Linked DNA regions of Mus musculus. The protein of the gene in region 1 interacts with the protein of each later gene in a pairwise test. Links are inferred from orthologs where the notes say so. Each region holds a gene or a part of one and is shown in the gene's direction. Other genes may lie near its edges.

Region 1 (7,440 bases):
GTGAGCTAGCTAGTAAGCAGAAATACCTCCTTAAACAGAACGAGCCGCAGGATGGTGGCTCACACCTTTAGACCCAGTTGGGGGGGGGGGGGGCTGAGGCAGGGGGATCTCTGTGAGTTTGAAGGTAGCCAGAGCAAGCTACACAGGGAAACCCTGTCTCGAAAAACAAAAACAAAACAAAAATAGAGCAGATCGTGCCCTAAGCTTAGGTATTATTGTGTCCCTACCCACTTCAGATGACACCCCTCAAGAGTGCCACAAACTTTTATAAAAATAAATTTATGAATAACTTAATATCTGTCATTAATGTTTGTAGCTGGATCTGGCTGTAACTGAACCTCATGGGAAGCTTAAGTCAGGTGATCTGGGGTTCGGGGTCCACAGCAGGGCTTCTGAGGGGGCTCCAGGGCAGCCTGAGTAACTTCACTTAGATTCTACACAAAGAAAAAAGGAGGGAGGGAGGCAGGGAGGCAGGGAAGGAAAGAAGGGAAAATAAAAGGTGGGATTTTTAGTTGGATAACTTGCCTAACATGCTCAAGGCCCGGGTTCCATGCCCAGCACAAACAAAGCCACTAGGAAGCCTGTGCCATGTGCTAGCCTTTCTAAGATTTTGGTTGCTTCACAGAAATAACTAAATTCACGAGAATTAAAACAGCCCAGACTCTCCAGTCAGGAGGCTCAGGCGACTCAGTGCCAGGTCTTCCCCAACCCCGAGTCAGGGATGAAAGATTCGCTGGCTCAGCCACGGCTTCCACGTGAGCTAGAATCACTCTTTTCTGAGGCTCGCCGAGTTTCTACACCAGTGAGCCACTAAGACCAGTGAGTCTCTAGGCTAGCTCTTCTCAAAGTACGGACCAATCTTTGAAGTGGTGGTCGTAAAAGACCGTGATCTTGCCGCTGCGGGCTTTGTACCTTCCAGAAAATGGGTGATGCCAAGGGCGCCGTAATGGCGGGAACTGGAAGTGTACAGACCGGCAGTCGAAGTTGCCAGCCAGCGCCAGCCAAGTTGTCTGACCCCAGGGCCGAAGGCGGTCTGCTGGAAACCCGGGCTTTACCCCCCCCCCCCCCCCATAGAGTCACTGCAGTGCATTCTCCAGAGGGAAGTGGGCAGATGGTGTCCGAGTCCCACAGCGATTTCTGCTGAGGTTCAAAACTACAGCAGCCCGAGTCAGGATGGCCACCGCGGGGACTCAGCTGGGACAGATCCTACAGTTAATGCAGTGGGGTAAGACTTCTTTCTGGCTTTAGGGAGCTCCAGGGAATCTGCACGGTGTAGGGATATAGTTCCACTTTTGTAGTCTTTTAGTTCTGATCTTAGTCATAGTCGCGCTGAACATAGTCGCGCTGCTTCTGACCCTCTGAGATGGCCTGCTTACTATTTAAAGCACTGCCTGTCTTTACCTTTTGAAAACCTTTTGAAAGACACCATAGATATTTCTTTTGAAAAGGAAAAAAAAAGAACCACAGCCTGGCGTAGTGGTGCATGCCCTTAACCCAGCACTCAGGAGGCAGATAGCGTGTGTGTGTGTGTGTGTGTGTGTGTGTGTGCGCGCGCGCGTGTGTATGTGTGTGTATACACACATATATGTATATATATTTAAATGACAGGTTGTATGTAGGCTATTAGATTTTTTTTCATGGAGATTGTGCTTGCTTGTGTGTGTGTGTGTGTGTGCATGTATGTGATTTTTTTTTCTTTTGGGTGGAATTACTCTCCAAAGCTGGGAGCTCCCCTTCTCTCAGAGTGAACCGACTGGAACACATGCTTTGTCACAAAACAAGCAAATTGTGGCTCCTTGTGATATTGGTAGATTCTGGGAATAAAGGCCATCCTGGAGGGGCAAGCCCCCCTAAGTTAGGTCTGAACACACCGTGCTGTGTGCCCTATACTGGGTGAGCAGATGTCTGAGGAAGGCTCTTGCAAATGTTTACTTATATGGCCCCTCTCCTGAGAGAAGTATGCATGCTTCATCAATGTATTTCCAGTGGCTAGGGAATTTTTTTTTAAGTAGTTGTGTTTGGCTTCATAAAGACAATTAAAAGACCATATGAAACAAGAAACACACACACACACACAAACACACACACACACAAACAAACCCAAAAGCCAGTAATTCAAATTAGTTCCGAACTATCATGTTTTGCTTTAGAACATTATTTTTGTTTTTGCTTTTTGTTTTTTGTTTTTCGAGACAGGGTTTCTCTGTGTAGCCCTGGCTGTCCTGGAACTCACTCTGTAGACCAGGCTGGCCTCGAACTCAGAAATCCGCCTGCCACTGCCTCCCAAGTGCTGGGATTAAAGGCATGCGCCACCAACGCCCGGCACTTTAGAACATTATTAAGCATGCATTTTTCAGACCCTAGTGCTTACACAAACAGGACTCAAAAACTCATGGTTTCTGCAATGCCTGTAAGTAACCAACACTGCACTAAGCGCTGAAGAATATTCTGGAAGCAGAACTGCTCTTTTTCTCTACAGAGGAGCGAGATGAAGCAGAAGCAGCTGCTTCGGGGAGGAAAAACACAGTGTTCTCTGGAACTTTCCAATAGTACGGGTTTACTAACAGCTCTGTTCATTGGGAGTTTTAAAACCCTCGACCGTTGAGTAGAAGTCCGCCTTTTTTCAAAAAAAAAAAAAAAAAAAAAAATCTATTTTCCAGTTACAATTTGGCGGGAACAGGAAGTTTGAAAATTCAAGTGCCGAAAACTTCAAATAACTCGTATGACATACATGTAATAAGTATTTCATTTTTAATTTACACCGTACACCATTGCCCAACACACAGAAACACGGTAAATTTAGCACACACACACACACAGAAAGTGGAAAAAATGCAAGAGTCCTATTGCAGTTCTCCGGACATTCAGCGAGCTGTTTTGTTACAAGTGTATCCAATGTCCCCAGCACCAGGGACTTATGGGGGCACCGCTCATTCCTGCTTCACTTGCTCTGCAGCTTCGGGAAGTGGTGGCTGCGTTTGGAAGCAGAGCTTGCCCAGCTAGACGACAAGATGCTTCGCGCCCCCAAGTGCTCTAGGTGCCGGAACCATGGCTATCTGGTACCAGTCAAGGGCCATACGGGCAAATGCCGCTGGAAGCAGTGCATCTGTGACAAGTGCTACCTGATCACCGAGCGCCAGAAGATCATGGCTGCCCAGAAGGTTCTCAGAACCCAAGCTGCCGAGGAGCAGGTGGCGACCGTGGGCACGCAGGGTCCCCAGCTGCCTCCTAGGGCTCCAGCAGCGGCGGCCACCGCCTTGAGCTCCAGCATTTGCCCACTGCCTAGGGCGGTTCCGGGAGGCGTTGGGCCAGGCCCCACGGCCACTTGCTTCCTCGAGAGGCCCCCGCAGGCCCCGAGCCCAGGCCCGAGCACCTTCCAGCTGGGCCCAAGTGGCCGCCCGGGCCCCAGCACCTTCCAGCCTGGACCAGGGGCCCCCGGGGGACTGCGCGACCGTTCCTCCGCGTGGCTGCCCCAGCTCATGCCACAGGCGCCCAGGCCGGAGCTTTGCTACCCGGATCAGCACCTGCCAGTGCGGCCCGTGCCAGTGCCAGGGCCAGTGCGGCCCGTGCCCCGACTGCCGTTCGCCGACTACGGTAAGCCCAGCCTCGTGCAGCCGACGGTTCCTCCGGCCTGTACCAGGCCAGCAGCCTCCGGCTCTAAGCTGGAGTCCCAGACTGGTGCCGGGGTGGGAAAGGCGCCTTCCCCAGGTAACCCCGCTTGAGAACCTGTTCCCAGACAAGGATTTGGGTGGGTGGCTTCTGATGATAGCAATGGGAAAAAGCTGGTAGGGAAGAATGTGCAGTGCAGGGGGGCTTTGTTGAGATGCAGTTTTCTGCCTCTGTACTTTTGCAAGAGGAAAAAAAAGATGGCAGCTGGGCAGCTTTGGCAGTGGCGCCTTTCCGTGGCCCCTCTAGCGCGTTTGCACGGCATCCCTTCCCCCCTCCCAGGTCTAGATCTCTTGTGCCTGCGTGGCAACCCCTCCCCCTCCCCGCCTGCCATTTTTCTCCTGCTGGAGAGTCTTTTTCTGAGTGGCTGTTCACCTTAAACTGCGCCTGCGCACCCTCCTTTCACTGAGCCGAGGCTAATTTATCCTAACTGCAGTGTCTAGCCTAACGCACCTGTACTCACACTCACTTGTTCCATTTCACCTGATGTGGTGGGGAATAAAACTTTCTGCTAGTTGGCCAGGGGGATGGGCTGGTTCACTAAGATTTTTTTTCCCCCTCGCTTTGTGCATTAATTACATTGTTTCTTTATGCTGTAGGTTGCTTTCCTGGTTGAAGTAGATTTCTTGAGTTTTTTTAAAATTATATTTATATCTTATAATTTATTTATTATAATGCATTGGTGTTTTGCCGGCATGCATGTCTGTGTGAGGGTGTCTTATCCTCTGGAACTAGAATTACAGGCAGGTGTGAGCTGCCACATGGGTGCTAGGAATTGAGCCTGGGACCTCTGGAAGAGCAGCCGGTGCTCTTAACCTCTTAACCGCTGAGCCACCTCTCTAGCCCCTGAAGTATGTTTTCAAGTAATGTAAAATTTGAGGCTCTTGGAATGCGGCTCTTTGGGATGAAGACTTGGGTTTTTGGGGGGGGTAGAGGGGGTTACTTTCCTTAGGGCTATGTAGAAAGAGTCTGAGTCGAGGGGATGCCCATGTGTAGCCTTGGACAAGTTCCTTCCTTGAAGAGCAGACTTTCAGAAATTAATGCTAACCATTCTTTTCTCTTTTTTTTCTTTCTTTTCTTTTTCTTTTTCTTTTTCTTTTTCTTTCTTTCTTTCTTTCTTTTTTTTTTTTTTTTTTTGGACAGGTCTCTGTATAGCCCTGGCTGTCCTGGAACTCACTTTGTAGACCAGGCTGACCTCGAACTCAGAAATCCACCTGCCTCTGCCTCCCAAGTGCTGGGATTAAAGGCATGCGCCACCACACTCCGCTCCAATGCTAATCATTCTTAATGTTTCTGAGATTTTGTAAGAAATCTTTCTCCCCAAGGAACTATCTGTCTGATGAGGAAGGCAGACTTAAATAAACCAGCAGTCCTATGAGGGCATATGTGTGTTCATCTCTCAACAAACAGGAACTTTAAAATGTGTTATAAAGAGGGGGGGAGAAGAGGCCACTTGTGGCTAATCCCAGCATGTGTGGAGGAGAGGTCAGAGGGCAACTTTGGGAAACCGGTTCTTTCCTTCTACCTCATGGGTCCCTGGGATGGAGCAGTGGCTGTCAGGCTTGGTGGCAGGTGCCTTTAGCCATCTTGCTGGCTCTGATGGTGCTACTCTCGATTGTCAGATGGATTGGTGAGAAACCTGGATGAGGAAAGCAGGAATTTGTCTGGATGCATCTTGGGAGGCGTTTCCAGAGAGTTTACTAAGTAGGAGAGGTGGGCCCTGCATGTGGGCAAAACAGCATGGCTGAGTGTTCAGGGACAGTGGGGTTAAAAATGAAGAGGAGAGATGGTGTCTGTGACTGCAGAGGAAGTGCCTGGGCTGTGCTGTTCACACCAGCACTGCCAGGAACAGAAACTGAAGCAGAGTCCAGTGGTGGGTGAGAACCACCACACGGTGGCTTAGACGTCCTGTCCTGTCCCCTCCTGATGCACCAACCCCGGGGAACAGCTTGACTGCAGCCAAAGCCAAGGGCTCCCATTGTCTCTGCCCAACACAGCGCTGAACCAAGGGGGGGACTGGGAATCTCACCGGTGTGCTAGAGTGTTGCTGCTAGTGTTGCATGGCCGTTACTGTTAGACTCTGAAGTGGTTAAAGGGTCGTAGAGTGAGTGTTAAATGCTCAGCCCAAATGGAATCTCCATCATCACCTCCACCAGGTCCCAGGGGACAGCATGAAGGGGAGAGGGAAAGAATACAAGAGCCAGGAGAAGGGGTGGAGTGTGGCAAGCATAGCTTGTCCATTCTACTCACTAGCTCACTGGCAGCCTACTGCCTGCACGGGGTTAGGGTCATGAGGATCTGTAGGCAATTAGTAGTTATTAATTATTCAGTGGTGTGGCCACCCATGTTCCTGAAAGTAGCCTTAGCTAATCTTACTGGTTCACATACATACCCAAAGAGATGTTAAGGCAGAAAGAGGACAAATGGCAGAAAGGATCAGTGACAAGGAGAGGGGATGAGAGGGCTCGTGTTGTGGATGTGACCAGAATACATTATCTGTGTATGTATAAGAGTATAAAGAAGCCCAGTGGGATGTCTGACTAGAGACTGCTTTAGTCGGTTGTGTCAATCTCTCTGTTGCCCGGGAGACAGCAATGCATTCACCCCTCAGGTTTGTGTTCTTAACACTTCCCCTCTCTGTTTATCTTCTTAGGGCATCCTCTGAGATTCAAGTCTGATCATGTGGTAGGAGCTGGGAATCCTGAGAGAGAGCCGTTCAAGCAGTGCCCTGCCTGCGTCCCTGTTTCACCCTACCAGTCCTTTCCACTTTCGGAAGGCCAGGATTCATCCTCTGCTCTGGGGGTCCCTCAACAAAGAGGCTTCCGGCATGTCTCCTGCAGCCCCTACCATAGAAGCGGCTTGGTAAGTTGGAGCCTGACTCCTGTCTAAGCCTGTTCTTACCCCAGCCGCTCTTATCACTTTCCCTGGCCCTCAGTCCCAGAGAGCTGGTTGTCATAAGGGGGAATGGGCCCGGGGTGTGGTGTCTGCTCTTCAGACTTGGAGCCCAGGGGCGACTGTAGTCTTAACCCGTGCAATGCAGCTGCCAGAGACGCCTTCCTGCTGCCGAGCCCCAATGCCACAGGACTGTGAATGAGGCCTGGGATGCAGCACACTTGGCTGATTGGTATGGAGTCAGAGATGCCCTGCCTCAAGCCCAGGCATGCTCTGCTATCTCAAGTGTGTCCCCGAGGTACAGCAAACCTAGCTCTTGACTTCCATGCCAGCCTGAAAGATGTGGCTGTTCCCGTCGGCCGCTACCACAGTCCAGGAGAGCAGGTGCCACTGGCCCCCAGACAAAGAGAGGCTGTGACCAAGGGCAGCCTGCAGCACACCGTCTGTTTACCCAGAAGTCTGGACTTGACATGCACGGCAGGGTTCTGAATGACAGGTCTACCAGACACCTTTGTGAAAGGTGCGACTCAGGCCCATGTTTGGGACTGAGCTGCCATACTGGCCCAGGCAGGAGCTTTGTTCTAAGGAGAGACTTGTCTGGGAGCTTGGAATTCCAATGCTGACAATTTCCCCTTCCATGCTCATCACGTCTGGATCCAACCTAAGAGCAGGAGTCTATTTTCACTCATGTGGCCCTGCCTTGGCCACATGCTCCAGACACCCAGAGACACCCCGCCTTTATCCTTGCCTACTTAATGCTATTCTGTGTGCTTTCTCTAGTCCCATTTGCCCAGGAGAGGGGGACAAAGCCCAGAGAGCAATCCTCCTTCCTCCCAGCCCTGCACCCTTGGGAGTTCTGCTCGCCCAGATCCCTTAGGGAAA
Region 2 (7,290 bases), on another chromosome or scaffold:
TGCTTACAGTTTCAGAGAGCCAGTTCATAATCACCAAGGCAGGTGTGGTAAGGTAGAACCAGGTAAGAGCTCACCTCTGACCCACAAGCTGCAGGCAGAGAAGAGGGTGGGAGAGGAGGAGATAGTGGGGAGGAAGAGGAGAGAGAGAGGGGTGGGAGAAAAGGAGGGGGGAGAGAAACTGGGTCAGGTGTGGGCTTTTGAAATCTCAAAGCCTATCTCCCAGTGACACACCTCCTTCGACAAGGCTCTATCTCCTATTCCTTCCACTTAACTATAGACCAAACACCAGATATATGAGTCTGTGAGGGCCTTTTTGTTTTAAATCACCAGAACAAGTGATTAAAATAAAATCTGTGGAAAAAATGTGCAGAGAAACAGTGAATATGTATGTGTGTGTGTGTGTGTGTGTGTGTATGTGTGTGTGTGTGCGCGCACGCATGTGTGCTCATACATGAGTGATTGTGAAAGAATACCATTTAAGTAAGATGGGGATCTATGATAAAGACGTGAAGAAAGTCAGAGACTCAAGAATGGACTTCTAAGGGCTGTTGAACACTTATGTACAATTCTTTGTTTAGTGATCATGGCAACACTATGTGTAGGTACATTTATTATTCCCATTTACAGACAGGATGTTGACATGTAAAAATATGCAGAGCACTGCTTATGACCCACCACTTGGTGTTCCCAAGGCCTGCTGTTCTCATAGCTTCTACTTCCAGAGCATTCCTCATGACCTTTGACCATGTGGCCTGTAGAGAAAGGATGACTAGTCCCTATTTCCTTTTCACTTCCTTGATCCTCAGGTAAAACAGGACGCTACATAGCTCTACATTAATTGTATGGTTAGGAACCTGGGGAGGATAGAGGCTATGTTATTTAGCCATACCAAAGGATAAGCTAAATTAGATGTATATCCTCCTTCACTTGTAAGCTAATTTCTAATTGCCATTCTTTTATCAAACCATCCAACTACCAACTACAAGATATCCTCATTTATTGGAGCCTGCATAATAAGATAATCAATTACAACAGAACTTTTAAAAAGTGATTTGACAAGAAACAGGAAAGTGAAGTTACACTTCCTAAGATAAATAAGAGAAATTTCCTGTTTGTCTCTTGCTGAAGAAAGCAGAATGGGACCTTACCAATCATAGTTCTCCAGGTACAGAAGCCAGAGTGAGTCCTGGCCCTGCAGAAGCAGGCGCTGCAGTTATCTTTTAAAGCAACAGACCTGGGACTTTCAGAAGGAGCTAGGAGATAGATGAAGGGAAACAGGTTGCTTACAAGGGGCTGGTGACAGGATTTGTTGCTGTAATTTAACCGTCATAACATTCTTGTTTTCGGTAAGCTCTCAGCATCACATCTGTACATTATTTACACCTGACTTGGCAAGCCAAGCTTTTGGGCACAATTTACCTAAAGACTGGCCCAGTTGCTTTTGCTGACCTCATAGCTCCCACCTCCAGAGCTTTCCTTATGACCTTTGACTATGTGGCCTGTGGAGAAAGAGTGACTCGTCCCTGATTTCCTCGATGCTCGAAGGCAAAACAGGAAGCCACATTAACTGTTTAGTTAGGAACCGGGGAAGAAGAGAAGTTGTGTTCCCTAGCTGTTCCAACAAAGGTACAAACCCTAGCAACCAAAGGAAAAGACCCCACTTGATAACAAACATAGATGTTTTTCTTTTCTTCTCCCAAGTCTAAATACCAGTATGTGGAGAGTAGCATCGGTTGTCAACTTTAAGTTCAAGGACCCTTCTGTTGAGCTTAGCTCTTGTTCTTAGCCCAATTGCATGTGAAGCATAGTTAATAGCATGATAAACTCAAGTTCGGGAGATTTAAGTGAGAAACCTCGTTCATGAGTTCCCCTGCAAAGAGCTTGTCATAAAGAGGGCTTAGTCAACGTTAGAAGAGCTATTAAAACTGAGTATTAAAAGTCATCTTTTCTCTGGGCCTCTTATTGGAGTTTCTCTGTGTGGGCATGTTCCTTAAGAAGGAAGTGGGTGGACAAGAGCGCACTGGGTACAATTTGTGTATTTGCAAGAGCAAGCAGAGGCTTTCACTGAGGGAGAACATATGTTTCTGGGGCTCCATCTGTACAAAAAGCTCGGCGTCCTGAAGTACTACGGATAAAAAAAAAAACCTTTAAAATACGTCTATTTCATACATGTTTCATTATCTGTGAACGTTTGGAACAGTGTAACTGACCCTAACTAACTAGATGTGCTACTCACAGCAGAAGTTCCCAGCTGCACCTGTCCTAAGGGCAGCTCCTCCCACAATCCTTCGCGAGCCGAGAATACGTGGGGGCCTCAGAGGACGTGCTCGCCCCGGGCGGAGTGCGCCTGCTTTGCAGGAGCCACGCCCCTGTCCCCTAAGGGCCTGGGTCCTACGGGGCGGGGCGGGGCGGGGCGGGGCGGGGCGGGGCGGGGTTTGCTGCCGGTCCCCACGCCTCTGCGGCTTTGCGGGCAGGTCCTGGCAGTCCCTCCTGGTCACTCCGCCGACGCGATGGCCGTCCCCGGCTCACTGGCCGAGTGTGGCTACATCCGGACTGTGCTGGGCCAGCAGATCCTGGGTCACCTGGACAGCTCCAGCCTGGCCTTGCCCTCCGAGGCCAGACTGAGGCTGGCCGGCAGCAGCGGCCGCGGCGACCCGGCGGCCCGGAGCCAGCGGATCCAGGAGCAGGTGCAGCAGACCCTGGCCCGCCGGGGCCGGAGCTCTGCGGTCAGCGGTGAGTCGAACCCCACCCGCCGTGCTAGTCGTAGGTCTCCCCGGTGCGAACCGGTGTCCGCCCGCCCACCTGTTGCTCACCTTACCTTTTCCGGCTCGTGGTTGGTCGCTTTGGACACGCTTCCTCCCTAACCTTTGGTTCTGGTCTACCTTATTCGTTTGTTAATTACACAATTGTCTGTATTAAAGAATTCGATCGGTTTCACCCTTCGCCGCTCGCTCCGGGTTCTCTCCCTGAGATTCTAAAAAACACTTTGAAATTTTATGCAGACTTTGGTATGCAAGATTGATCTTCTGGAATAAGGCGCTTTGGGCTTTTATTGAGATGTTTTAGAGTTTACGACTCTCTATAAATATTTTTAGAAAGAAACCTTCAAAGCCCTGCGGTTCCTCCATCCTCTAAATTGAGGTTACCTCGTCCAAGTGCTCCACTCCGTATCTGCGACTAAACAAATTGAGCAAGTCGGCTTTGGGTCTGGGAGCAACCTGAACACCCTGCGGAGGATAAGGAGGAAGGAGACTTTGGCCAGGCTGAAGGTAGCCCCGCCTGCCCACCTCACACCCACACACCAGAACCAACAGATGCGTGGGTGCAGAACCGCCCTCATTAAAAAAAAAAAAATCAACCCCCCACCACACAGACTAGTTGACAGAAGTGTGGTTGATCAGAAAGATCAGAAGCTCTGGTAAATGTGATTACCATTAAGAATAATAATGCTTCCGTGCCAGCATGTGGATTTCAAATAGCAGAGTCTGGGAGGCTGTCCGCTTTTCAGTTTGTCTAAAGGTTAGGGCAGTTGATGTTTGCATACTTGAAAAGTAAAGAGGTGTTTAATGATTGCAAGCTCATGTAAGTGAGTGCCTGTAACGTCCCTAATTAGGCTATGTGGTTCGCACTTTATATTATCTTCTTAAAATGAACTGTGTATTTTTTTCCTTTCTCTTTCCATATGTGTAGATATAGATACGATTTTTAAGATGCAGCCTCAAACTTCCCGTCTCCGTCTCCCATGTGCTGAGATTACAGACATGGGCTGGGTTTACTGTGGATCCAAGCTTAGAGACAAGGAAACTGAGCAAATAAAACAGTCAAGATTCCAGACAGAAAGTGGCATAGGTGGTATATAAAAGCCAAAATGTGGAGTTTTAAGTCGATCATGAGTTAACATATTAAGTGTTTGATTACTAACACAAAATGAAATTACTTGGGAACTAAACTTCCCTGTAACGACTCCTTTTCCTCTAAGTAAAACTAAGGAAGTTCTAAGAGGATGGAAAGGTTTACACAGGAAAGAACTGCTTTAGTTCCTGGTGAGAAGAAAAAGCAAACCTTAGGGTTAGGAATGTGGCAAAGGACTCCAGGATGACTGAGGGCAGTGTCTGGCTAGTCCTGCCATTGCATCCTGCAGTGTGAAAAGCCTCATGCCCAGTGCTAACGTGGAACTGAAGAGCCTTCTTCCTTATCTTGTAAGGGTGGCCAGCCAGAAGAACAAGCAGGCATCAACTAGTAAACAAATGGTGGGAGTGGGGGTGGGGGTGGGGGTCCAGTGTAGGAGGAAGGAACAGGGAGCTTTGCTAAGCACTTTGCTATCATATGGCAGCTGGTCATCTCCAATTTCATGCATTTCCATTCTGTTATGTCCTTAAATGGAATTGGAAAGGTAGATGAGCTAGATACTATAAGGTGATCATTTTAGGGGTGGAGTGGGGGGAGGCATATATCTATCAACAGCTGTAGGATGATGGTCCAAGTCCTAGAAAATTGGTGTCTCCTCTCTACGGAATAATACAGGAGCTGTTTGGTGAATTCAACCACTGCCACTGAACGTGTTCTTCTCCAAGGGGCATCATTCTGGTGCTGAATTAAACACACATTTGGTGTGCTTTGTAACAAGAAGTTTAAACCCAAGGAAATGCAGTCATGAATCAAAAGCCCTAAGTACCCAGAGAACAGCAAGGGTGCCACAGAGCTTTCAAATGCAAAGTTCTCCCAGCCAAAGAGAATTTTGAAAATCTGTTTGGAGGAACTGTGATATTAGCTCACCAGTCCCACCCCCACACTCTGAAACTAGGAGCTTTAAATCTCAGAAGTTTATTAGGCTTGTGCAGGGAGCATAGCTGGAGATGCATGCGTTACTGTAGAAGTGTGCACGGATATTTCATAGTGCCGAGTTGACATGAGAGAACAAAGACTCAGCCTTGGTGCTTCTGTTCCGTTGAGTGGTTTTTTCCAACTAAGGGATAAAGCCCTGAGCTATTTTTGATTACCACAGAGCTCTTTGGCAGGCTGCAGAGAAGTGCAGCTTAGGCGGGGGTAAGGCATCAGACCCCTACTCTGAAGGAGGTCAGCTACAGGGACCGGGCTTCCCTGTACCCTGGAGCAGCAGCAGGAGGTGACTCCCACCTGTTTAACTGAAGTACTTTGGAAGTGTTTGGGACTTAGAGTGGCTGGATTGCTTTATATTTTCCTTATATCCGTGTCCTGTCTGTAGTGTGGAAACACAGCACTGAAACAGTGCTGATCTGGAAAGAGTGACCCTGATGTTACTGCCCTTAGCCCCAGTACCCTGGAGAATTCTGGATTGTTGACATACCAGAAAGGATGAGGCAGCAGACAGTCTGCCGAAAGGTTTGTGGTTAATGCCTTGTAAGGCTTTTTCACCCTCCGTGGCTTTCTTACGGTGTATGGTTTCCCTGGAAATCACTCACTGACTTTTGGTATCATTTTAAACTGGTGAATATTTTAAAGTCAGTTTTATCTCTTAGGTTCAACGGTGTGTGTGTGGCTGCATTATAAAATATGTATATGTTTTACCAAATTTTAAAATCTATAAAAGTCAGAATGAAACATTTAAAAGTGGCAAAGAAAGCTAGCAAAGCTAGCAAAAAATGACTATAGTGTAAAACAGTTTTACTTACTACCTTGTCTTTCTCTCTCTCTCCAGTGCCCAAATAGGAAGAAATTGTAGTATGTAATGCTTATAACGCACAGTGAACTATATTCCAATTCATTTTACAAGGTCTTTGAAGAGCTACCATAAAAACTTTAGCCATGCTTGTTACTTACACGACTTCCTGAAGAAGCAACTATCAGTACTGGAGATTAGAGTGGATTCTGGAGAGAGGACTACACATTTATCCTGGGCTTCAAATGGTGCAGTTAGAAAAGCCAAGTGTAGTGGCTCATGCTCATAATCCCAGCACTGAGGTGGCTGGGGCAGGAGAATGGCTGTGAGTTTAGGACAAGCCTAGTCTATAGCATAAAACCCTGTTCGTAACACAAAGCCAGCTAACAGGTGCTGCTGCAAAGAGAAATTGTTTCATAATTGTCATTTATAGTTGCCAACAATAGACTTGCCCTTTCAGAGAAGTAAAATAAAAGCTTTTAATGATTTTTAACTAGACTAGAAATTCAATTTTAATGTAAAACCAATGCTAAGCTAACAAGATAAAATAGCATAAAGCTTTGCACTGTAAGACTCCTTTGCTAAAGGGTATTACATGGATGAGTCACTCTTGAGTGAGAGGGTTAGTCATTCAGGAGGAAGGAGACAGGAGGGGAGAAGCCAGTGGTGGGACTGTGCCCACACTGCTGTGAGTGTGAGTGTCTTTCAGGCCTCAGCGTACAGTGACTTCTGTGTTATCCCATAGCATATTTTCATTCAGATTTGGTAATGTAATTTTTTTATGGGAGGGTTTTCTGTTTTTACAAATTTCTAATTATACTCTGTCAAAATAGAATACCAACAAAATGAAGGTTAGAAAGAGCAAACTTCTCAAGTGGGAAGAACATATTTTTTGTGAGTAAAGGGCTGAGTGGGAGGGTGGTAAGGATACTGCAGAGTCGGCAGAACTGTGAGAAACCAAAGATCCTGGGTCACAGGATTTGATTAAAACACCGTTCTTTAGAGCAGGAATTGCCTTAAGGAAACGACCTGGCTGCTGTCAGTAGCCCTGTGCTAGTGTGCTGTTGTCATGGGAACAGAAGGCCACTCAAGAACTGATTGTTCTAGCTATTTGTGGCTTGTTGGTGCTTTCTCTTACAGTATTCTTTTGTATATCAACTTTAAAACTTTTTTCTCACGTATTAAAATAAGACTTGTTTTATTTTATCTTTATATTGTTCAACACTGATATTGATATAGAACTTAATAAGAAATGCATGACTCAAACACCAGATTTGATTAATGTGATCTACAATGAGTATTTGGTTCCCACCCAGATGATCTTCAAAATACTCAAATTATTTAATTCTGATATAAATGTAGACCTCTATTTTGTGCATATATCCAAATGTATTTACTCACAAGTCCCATGCTCCACTTTGGGAAGGAAACACTAAGCAAGACTAGATATAGACCATGAATTAAGATATTTTTTAATCTTTGTGCCAAAGTAACCTCTTCCCTTCAGTTCACTAAATTAAGAATAAACAGTTTATAAAGTTTCCTTTATGATAGAACAGCAGATATTTACATTACGATTCATAACAGTAGCAAAATCACAGTTATGAAGTAGCAATGAAATAATCTTATGGTTGGTGGTCCTAACACATGAG
Region 3 (7,475 bases), on another chromosome or scaffold:
AGGTAAGAATTTTAACCTCAAGTATGCAACTAGCTAATGACACTCCTCTTTGAACACCAAAGTCATGAGAGCCTACACATGTGCTGTTGTTGGGGTTAGGAACTCTCAAAGCGTGAGAGTCTCTGATGGCAAACAAACTGACGCACAGATCTGACATGGCATGTGAGAAATGTGACAGAAACAACTAAACATTTAACAAAAAATAGAGGTGGCATATGGGAGCTGGAGTGGGGCTTTTGGGCAACTAGGGAAAACTTTACAAGGGTACACCAAGCCCAGAGCCCTACAGATGCCAAGCATGTGTAGAGGTCAAGACACATGAGGAGTCCATCTAGTGAGCTTGGGCAGCAACATCTCTTGGGGCCTAATAGGTCTTGGGAAACTCTGGATATTTTTTTTCTTAACCTGAGAAATCAGGCAAAACTAAGCAGGGGAAGAGAAAATGCACTAAATGGCTACTATTTCCAAGTGATGGGTCCACCAGGGATTGAGCCATGGTGAATGAATATTGCCTATTATTTTCATTCAACTACATTATAAAAGTGGTTGGACATATGGGTCAAAAATTATGTAACACTGTAATGAATTCAAAGGATTTACTGGATAGGGTCAGTAAAATGGGGATGGGGGCACTCTGGTATAAAATATACATGGATTTGAACAGCAGATAGGGCTCATTGGCTATAGTGCTGGATAAAATTATTCAGTTTCCCTCTTCCTCTTCAGGGGTTTCCTCTTATGTAAAACTTGGGGCTGCCAGGATTGCCTAAGGTACAGGACTGCTCTGATTGAGCTATAGAGGGAGAGCAGTTACCAAAGGGCCTATAAGTGTGACCAACTTACAAAGGGGACTTCTCTTGCACAAACACAGACAATGTATAATAATTCAGTGACAAAATATTTTTTAATAATATACAAGAAAGAAACCTCGTTTTTTTCTAGATTCTGAAGAAAGATTTAGAAAATGTAGTAACAGCTTTTTGATCAAATTATTCCATGCTTTCACTAATTTATTGTTTAGAGATAATTAAGGGATTATCTATAGTACTAAGAACTACTATAGCCATTGTTGGAAAATTAAAATTATTTCAATTACATGTTAACTTTGTTCATCATTTGCTCTAAAAAACGTAGTTTAATGGACAACTAGAAAACCAAAACCCAAACCAACCCAAACTGTAGTCTTTAAATAAAATAATCAGAAGCTACTGGCCAGGAAAAGAGTAAAATTGCTTTAAATACCGTTGGTACCACACAAACTTCGAAAATGCTCTTTAGAAATCGCGTAAATCAAAGTTTAAAACAACAACAACAAAAAAAGCAATCCAACTAGCCTGCTTACGTACACATTTAAAATACAGTGAGATGATTCCCAGAAAATTATAGCCAGGGCCAACTCTCAAAATGGTTAATTTGACAATCTTGTCTACATTTTAATGGAGCATGTTATAGAGAACTTGCAACAAAACAGGGATGATGCAGATTTAATGACCGACAGCTTCTATAAATCGCAGGACTTCATTGCTGCAATTCGGAACATTGTTTCCGAAACAAATGTAACCGGCAGAACTTCCTCTACACGCCATAGAAAGCCCCTGTCCTGGCCCTCTGCCTGTCATTTATTTATTTATTTTTGTCAAGTAGGTAAAAATAGGCGTTGGCCACTTCGTTTTTTCCCCGAATATGTACTCCTCACACAGGCTCCCTTGTGCGGGGGCCGCACCGCTGAGGAGCCAGCGCCTCCGCCACCAGGGACTGGAACCTGCGGTGAGGATTAACGGAACCGCGCGTCACGCCGCATGGAACAGAGCCCGCCCGCACGCCCGTGGGTGCGCACGCGTGTGCCGTCTCCGCCCACGGTCCGGGGCCGCCTCGCAGCCCACGGCAACGCGAGGCCCGTCACGCGTGGCGCTGGCTCCAGGGGAAACCTCACTGGAGTCCCTACCGCCGGAGACACTTGCGGTGTGGGCGCCCACGCCAACTCAGTCCGCCGCCACCTCGCACCCCAAGCGATCCGACGGCCGGGTTTCCCGCCCCGCGAGGTGGGCGCCGCGCCAGAACGGTTCGGTCCCGCTCCTCCGTCCGCAGGCCATCTTCGTCCCGCTCCACCCCCACGCAGGCGCGCTCCAGGCCCGCTTCCCCCCCACCCCCCGCCCCCACGGCGCGCTCTCCGCCAGGTGGGGCGGAGCGACCCTCGGAAGGGGCGTGGTCACAGTCCTCGACGCGCGCACGCGCTCTCAGCCTCTCGGCTACGTGTCTGGACACGTGACGCCCACCCGAGAGTCCCCAGTGAAGCAACAGGACGTTTAAAAAAAAAAAATTTTTTTTTTTTTGAGGGGGTAGCGAGGAAGGTGGACGAAGAGGTTTAAGAAAAAAAAAAAAAACCCAAACTATAGTAACGCGCGCGGACGCGAGGCCCGGGCGGCGGCGAGCGCAGCGCGTCGCGGAGAGTCCCGCCGGGATTCCTCTCAGCCGCCGCACCCGACCGCGCCCGCCGCCTCAGCAACAGCGCGCCGACGAGCCAGCGCCGCCGCCCGCGTCCCCCTCAGCCGCGACCCCGGCCCCGCGCGGGCGGCCACCGGCGCGCGTCCTCCCCGCCGCGGCCCGGCCCTGCGCCGGCCGTCCCGCCCGAGCGGCCAGGGGCGGCGGCGCCGCCTGAACTGAGGCGAACTCCGCCGCCAAGTGAGTGAGGAGGAGGAGAGCCGCGGAGGAAGAGGAGGAGCGCAGTCGGAGCGCGGCGGCGGCGGCGGCGGCGGTAACGCGGAGCGCCGCGGCGGACAGCACCGCAGACTCGCGAGCTCCGGCGCAGGCGGCGCGACCGGCCGACGAGCGGCCCCCCGGCTCCTCGCGGCGCAGCGGCCCCGCGCCGCGCTCGGCCCGAGACCCGCCTCTGCCGCCGGCCTCGCGAGGGGAGCCGCGCCGGGCGGCCGAGGAGCGGCGGCCGCGGCGCGTCGGGCCGGGCGAAAGTGCCTGCGGGGGGCGGGCGGGCGCGCGGAGCCGGCCGCCCCGGGGCTCGGCGCGGGAGCCGGAGCGGGAGCCGGCGCGGAGCGGGACGCCGCGTCCCGAGCGGCCGGCGGCCGGAGCTCGCCCCCGCCCCTCCCTCCTCTCCTCCGGCGGCGGCGGCGGCGGGCGGAGTGAGCTGCGGAGCCTGGAATATGGTCGGGGAAATGGAAACGAAGGAGAAGCCGAAGCCCACCCCAGATTATTTGATGCAGCTGATGAACGACAAGAAGCTCATGAGCAGCCTGCCCAACTTCTGCGGGATCTTCAACCACCTCGAGCGGCTGCTGGACGAAGGTGAGGCGCCCGGCCCCGGCGCGGCGGCCCGGGATGGCGGGGCGGCGGGAAGGTCAGGCGGGCGGGCGGGCGGGCGCACAAAGGCGGCGCGGGCGGCTCGCGGCCCGGCCGGGGCCGGGCCAGGCCCGAGGGCGGACCCGGGAGCGCGCGGGGCTGCGGGGCTGCGGCCGGCTCCCGACGGCGCGGCGGCTAGGCTCCCCGCCATCCCGGCCATCTCGGCCGGCCCGGCGGGGCCACGCGATTCCCCGAGCTCCGCCTCGCCTGGCCCGCGGAGCCCCGGCTTAGCGGGCTCTTTTCGGTAGAGTTGCGTGGCCCGCAGTACCCGATCGGACCCCGAGATGTCCAGGAATCACGTAGGGTACCGAAGAAAAGTAGTGCTTATGTGGCCGAAGGCGAGGACGAAATGACAGAGTAGAACACTTTTTGTCCTTTTGTTTGGGGAAGCGAGAACTGTTTGGGAGTTTAACTTCACTTTTTTTTTTTTCTTTAGTCTGTGGTGGTGGTGGTGGGGGAGGAGTACGAAATACCGCGAGGACAGACCTGAACGGAATCCGAGTTTGGAAGAACTGGGGCGGAGGGTTCGCTCCCGGCGTAGCCGCCTGCGTTTGCAGGGCGGGGAGCTGGAAGTTTGAAAGGACGGGGATAAAATAGAGCAGAAGTTTGCACAAGCCGAGTTAGGAGCGCTGTGGGGAGCGAAGACTGACTGGAGATTAATGCTGGTCAGCTCTGGAATTCCTTTAGGAACTACTCATAGCAGCGACCTGGAGTGTTAGTTCCCAGTAGCTGTAGGTTTCTGTGGACGCCCGGGGCGGGGTTGGGGGGTGGGATAGGACCAACAAGTCTGTTTTAAATCGAGTAGCGAGTAGTTTCTGTCTTCTCTTTTAAAGTCTCTGAGTGGACTGTTTAAAGGAAGCGGAAAACTATGTTGTACAGATGAACATGGATTTTAGGATCTTGAGAAGAATGTCGAAAAATTTTAGAGATAGCTGGGGATATCTGCTGGCATGTCAGGGAAGAACAAAAGACTCCCGAGCTAAAAGATGATTAAAGAGTCATCCTCAGAGCTTCCGTTGGATGGGGAGCTTTGGGCAGTATTTAAAACAGAAAACATTCAGCTATTACACATGAACATGCAACAGCAACACATCGAAAGAGGCATTTTTTATTGTTGGGTTGGTATATTTGTTAGTGTTAAATTGCCCTGGAGAAAAAACTTGAACTGCCCCTTTAAGGGTTTTTGCCTTTCCTATTTGTGTTGGCATTTGAAAAATTGTGGAGGCAGAAAACTTTCTGGAATGTCCAAAAAAAAAAAAAGAAAGCTGGAGCTCTTAAATTGAGTATTTCCAAAAGTGAGCGCTAAGGGGCGCCAGTTATTTTTTTTTAACCTTGGAAATGTTTGGAACAAAATAGTATGCTTAATAATCTGACCTATATTAGGTGCAGTTGAAACTTAAATTTTTAGATGACTTCATTTGTCACTATTCACAAATGTGATTAGGGCGGAAACACCTCATACATTGATATTTCTTCCTTGGCATTGGTTTTTATGATATTAGTAGCATATTTATGAGGAAAAATTTAGTTTTTAAAAGTTCAATCAAGAGGGAATTTCTTACACAACAAACTAGACAGCATATACAATGAACTAAAAAGCATTCTTAAAATGCTTCGTATACCTAAGTGACTTAGTGGACTTATAAAAAGTTTGGATATGTTATAAGGAAAACTAGTAGGCGTTTCTTAGATTAATTGTAAAGGCTGTTCAAGTGTTCTCTTTCAGCTTGATCAGAAATAACTGCCTTATTTTGAGGTTGGCATAAGTCTTTCAACTAGAGGAATTTCAATCTTTGCACAGGCTTATTTCTCTTGGTTAGAAATAGTGACCCTTTGGGTTTCAAATGTAGAAGACAGCTAGTTCAGGATTACAATATTCAAAGTAATGTTTGGTGTCTCCTTGTCATGTTTTCTCCATCTTCACCTTAGTCTGTTTGTTCTTGGGTGTCTGAGCATTAGGCTAGAGTAAAGATAGCTCGGATTTAATAGGAGACAGGAGATTGACTGGGGATTGTGATTGTTTTCATCACTTGCAGGAAATGGGCTGGTCCTTAGTGTGCTATAAGCTTTTAACTGTACTTGTTAGTCTTACTGTAAATTTAATTTGACTTGAAAATTCTGGCTTTTTAAGTGCACCATCATAATTTTCTTGGTAGATGACTTAATTGTGAAAATTGGCAACTTGTCCTTAACCCCTTGTGCCCTCTCATTGTCTAAAACAAATTAATTATGACTTCTGTTTATGGTTAGGGATTACATTTTCCTTTGACTGTAATACTTGGCAGAAAAATTACTTTTAAATTCAGATAAAACTAAGTTTCACTTTAGGGATTAAACTGTTCAGTGATAGTAAGATACTCTACTCTCTGATAATTAGAAACTTTGAATGGGACTATTTAGCAGTTTTATTTTAAAAATTCTTTTCCAGCAGTGAACTTTTAATATAGTTTCTGTTTGAGAATTTTCATTTGATTTAACAAATTTGGGAATGAAATATGTTAGTTTTCTACTTGTTAAAACTTGAATGATAGAAGAGAAATCGTATATTAATTCTTGCTGGCTTAAAGAAAGTAGTCCATAGTTTTAACTTAGGTAGTAGTAACTCAGTCCTTGTGTTGGCTGTTAGTTCTGCTTGGTGAGTTGTGTCAGTCTTTCTTTCCTAGCATCTTTAGCAGGATAGTTTTGTTTTAAAGCTAACAATATATTTTAGGCCAGGGCAATTCTTAAATAAAAGCTATAACTTGAGTTAATACTTCTAAGACTTAAAGGATCATTTAATTAGAGGTGAGCAGAAGATTACAAATAAAATGTGGGTCTTAAACTGCTTTCTCTTAAGATTTTAACTTTATCCCTGGGATAAAGTTACACACAAATTATCTTAAAGACTTTTCTTTGTAATGAAAACGAGTTAAATGCAAAACATTTTTAAAAAATAAACATTTTGTAATTTAATATGAAGACGTGCAGCAGTAAATAACACAAATAACAAGTAGAGAAAAGCAAGAATGTGATACATGAGCATCGAATTTCCAGTTTTAATTCCATGATTATGAGAGAGAGGCTGCTTTTATGAAAATGAGAAGGGTGTGGTTTGATGAAAGGGGGCAGTCTGAATATTTTTACAGAAGCTTGTCAGAAAAACTAGAGTATAATTTAGGAAAAGTAAACAAATATGTTAGATTTTGCATGAATGATTTAAAAATGCTTTTAGTTTTAGATAACCCTTTTTCATAAAATTTCCTGCTCCCTAACTGATCTTAATTTTCAATTAAAATCGGCTTTGCTGTTTATCTTTGAGAATGTGTTCAGTGTTGCAGATGTCATACCTCTGCTTTTCTTGAATTTTAATTCTTTTCTTTTTGAAAAGTCTTGTTTGTCCATAAACACTATGGCTTAAAACTTTGCATGGCCGTAGATACTGAAAGGACATAGGTGATATAGTTTGGTAAATTTTTAGATTTTCTTTTGTCTAAAAAGCAAGTCATTATTGATAGTAGTTATTGTGTCAAGCATATTTTATGTAAGATGGGGTAGTTAATTTGTTTAGGAACTAGGACATTGCTTTTGCAATCCATTGCTTTTGTAATAAGCTGCTATTTTTCACCAGTTCTCTCCACTATGCTCCTCAGGAGATAGCACAGCTCTGTGTGGGTCTAATGGAAACAATCGTTTGCGAGTTTATTCTGCATTTACACCACACTGCTCTAGAGTTGGAGGTGGTAAGCTTCATCATGTTTTATAGTTAAGGTTGTACTGTTAAACAATAGCACAATTAAGTTTATAGTAGAAATAGGGCTTAGAGCGTCACATTTCCTAGTATATTTGCTATCATTGCCTTTTCTGAGATGAGTATGAGAACGGTAAAATAAAAATTCTCATTTGCGTGAGAGTGGGTGTGTTTGATGATAGGGACCTTCAGAGCTGTCTCAGATCAGCATTTGGCTTTTTAGGTGGTTTGAACATTGTGTATCTCTGTTAATCATGGCCCCATCTCTGTCCTGAAGCTGGTGTCTAACAAGTGTTCCATCAGATCAAGTGATTTTTAGTATCCAAAAGGGAAGCAGAGTCCTGTGACAAAATCTGACAAGTATAACCCTGCGCTGCTGAGACCCTTGATAAAGCAG

Evidence for each region.
Region 2: the proteins of Dmrtb1 (region 1) and Pkp2 interact in a two-hybrid assay, tested with the Homo sapiens proteins (2 studies listed by BioGRID). The link is inferred for Mus musculus from reciprocal best matches to the Homo sapiens genes DMRTB1 and PKP2.
Region 3: the proteins of Dmrtb1 (region 1) and Qk interact in a two-hybrid assay, tested with the Homo sapiens proteins (2 studies listed by BioGRID). The link is inferred for Mus musculus from reciprocal best matches to the Homo sapiens genes DMRTB1 and QKI.

Annotation. Positions count from the first base shown.
Region 1 is NC_000070.6:107,679,734-107,687,173, reverse strand, and holds the start of Dmrtb1 (doublesex- and mab-3-related transcription factor B1), read left to right. Parts: upstream 1-2,943; 5' UTR 2,944-3,011; coding exon 3,012-3,594; exon of another isoform or gene 3,595-3,708; intron 3,709-5,927; exon of another isoform or gene 5,928-6,066; coding exon of another isoform or gene 6,067-6,166; intron 6,167-6,319; coding exon 6,320-6,528; intron 6,529-7,440.
Region 2 is NC_000082.6:16,210,863-16,218,152, forward strand, and holds the start of Pkp2 (plakophilin-2), read left to right. Parts: upstream 1-2,482; 5' UTR 2,483-2,510; coding exon 2,511-2,733; intron 2,734-7,290. UniProt on the Homo sapiens protein: A component of desmosome cell-cell junctions which are required for positive regulation of cellular adhesion.
Region 3 is NC_000083.6:10,314,554-10,322,028, reverse strand, and holds the start of Qk (protein quaking), read left to right. Parts: upstream 1-2,667; 5' UTR 2,668-3,155; coding exon 3,156-3,297; intron 3,298-7,475. Other genes in the region: uncharacterized protein Gm46608, read left to right, coding at 1,684-2,310. UniProt on the Homo sapiens protein: RNA reader protein, which recognizes and binds specific RNAs, thereby regulating RNA metabolic processes, such as pre-mRNA splicing, circular RNA (circRNA) formation, mRNA export, mRNA stability and/or translation.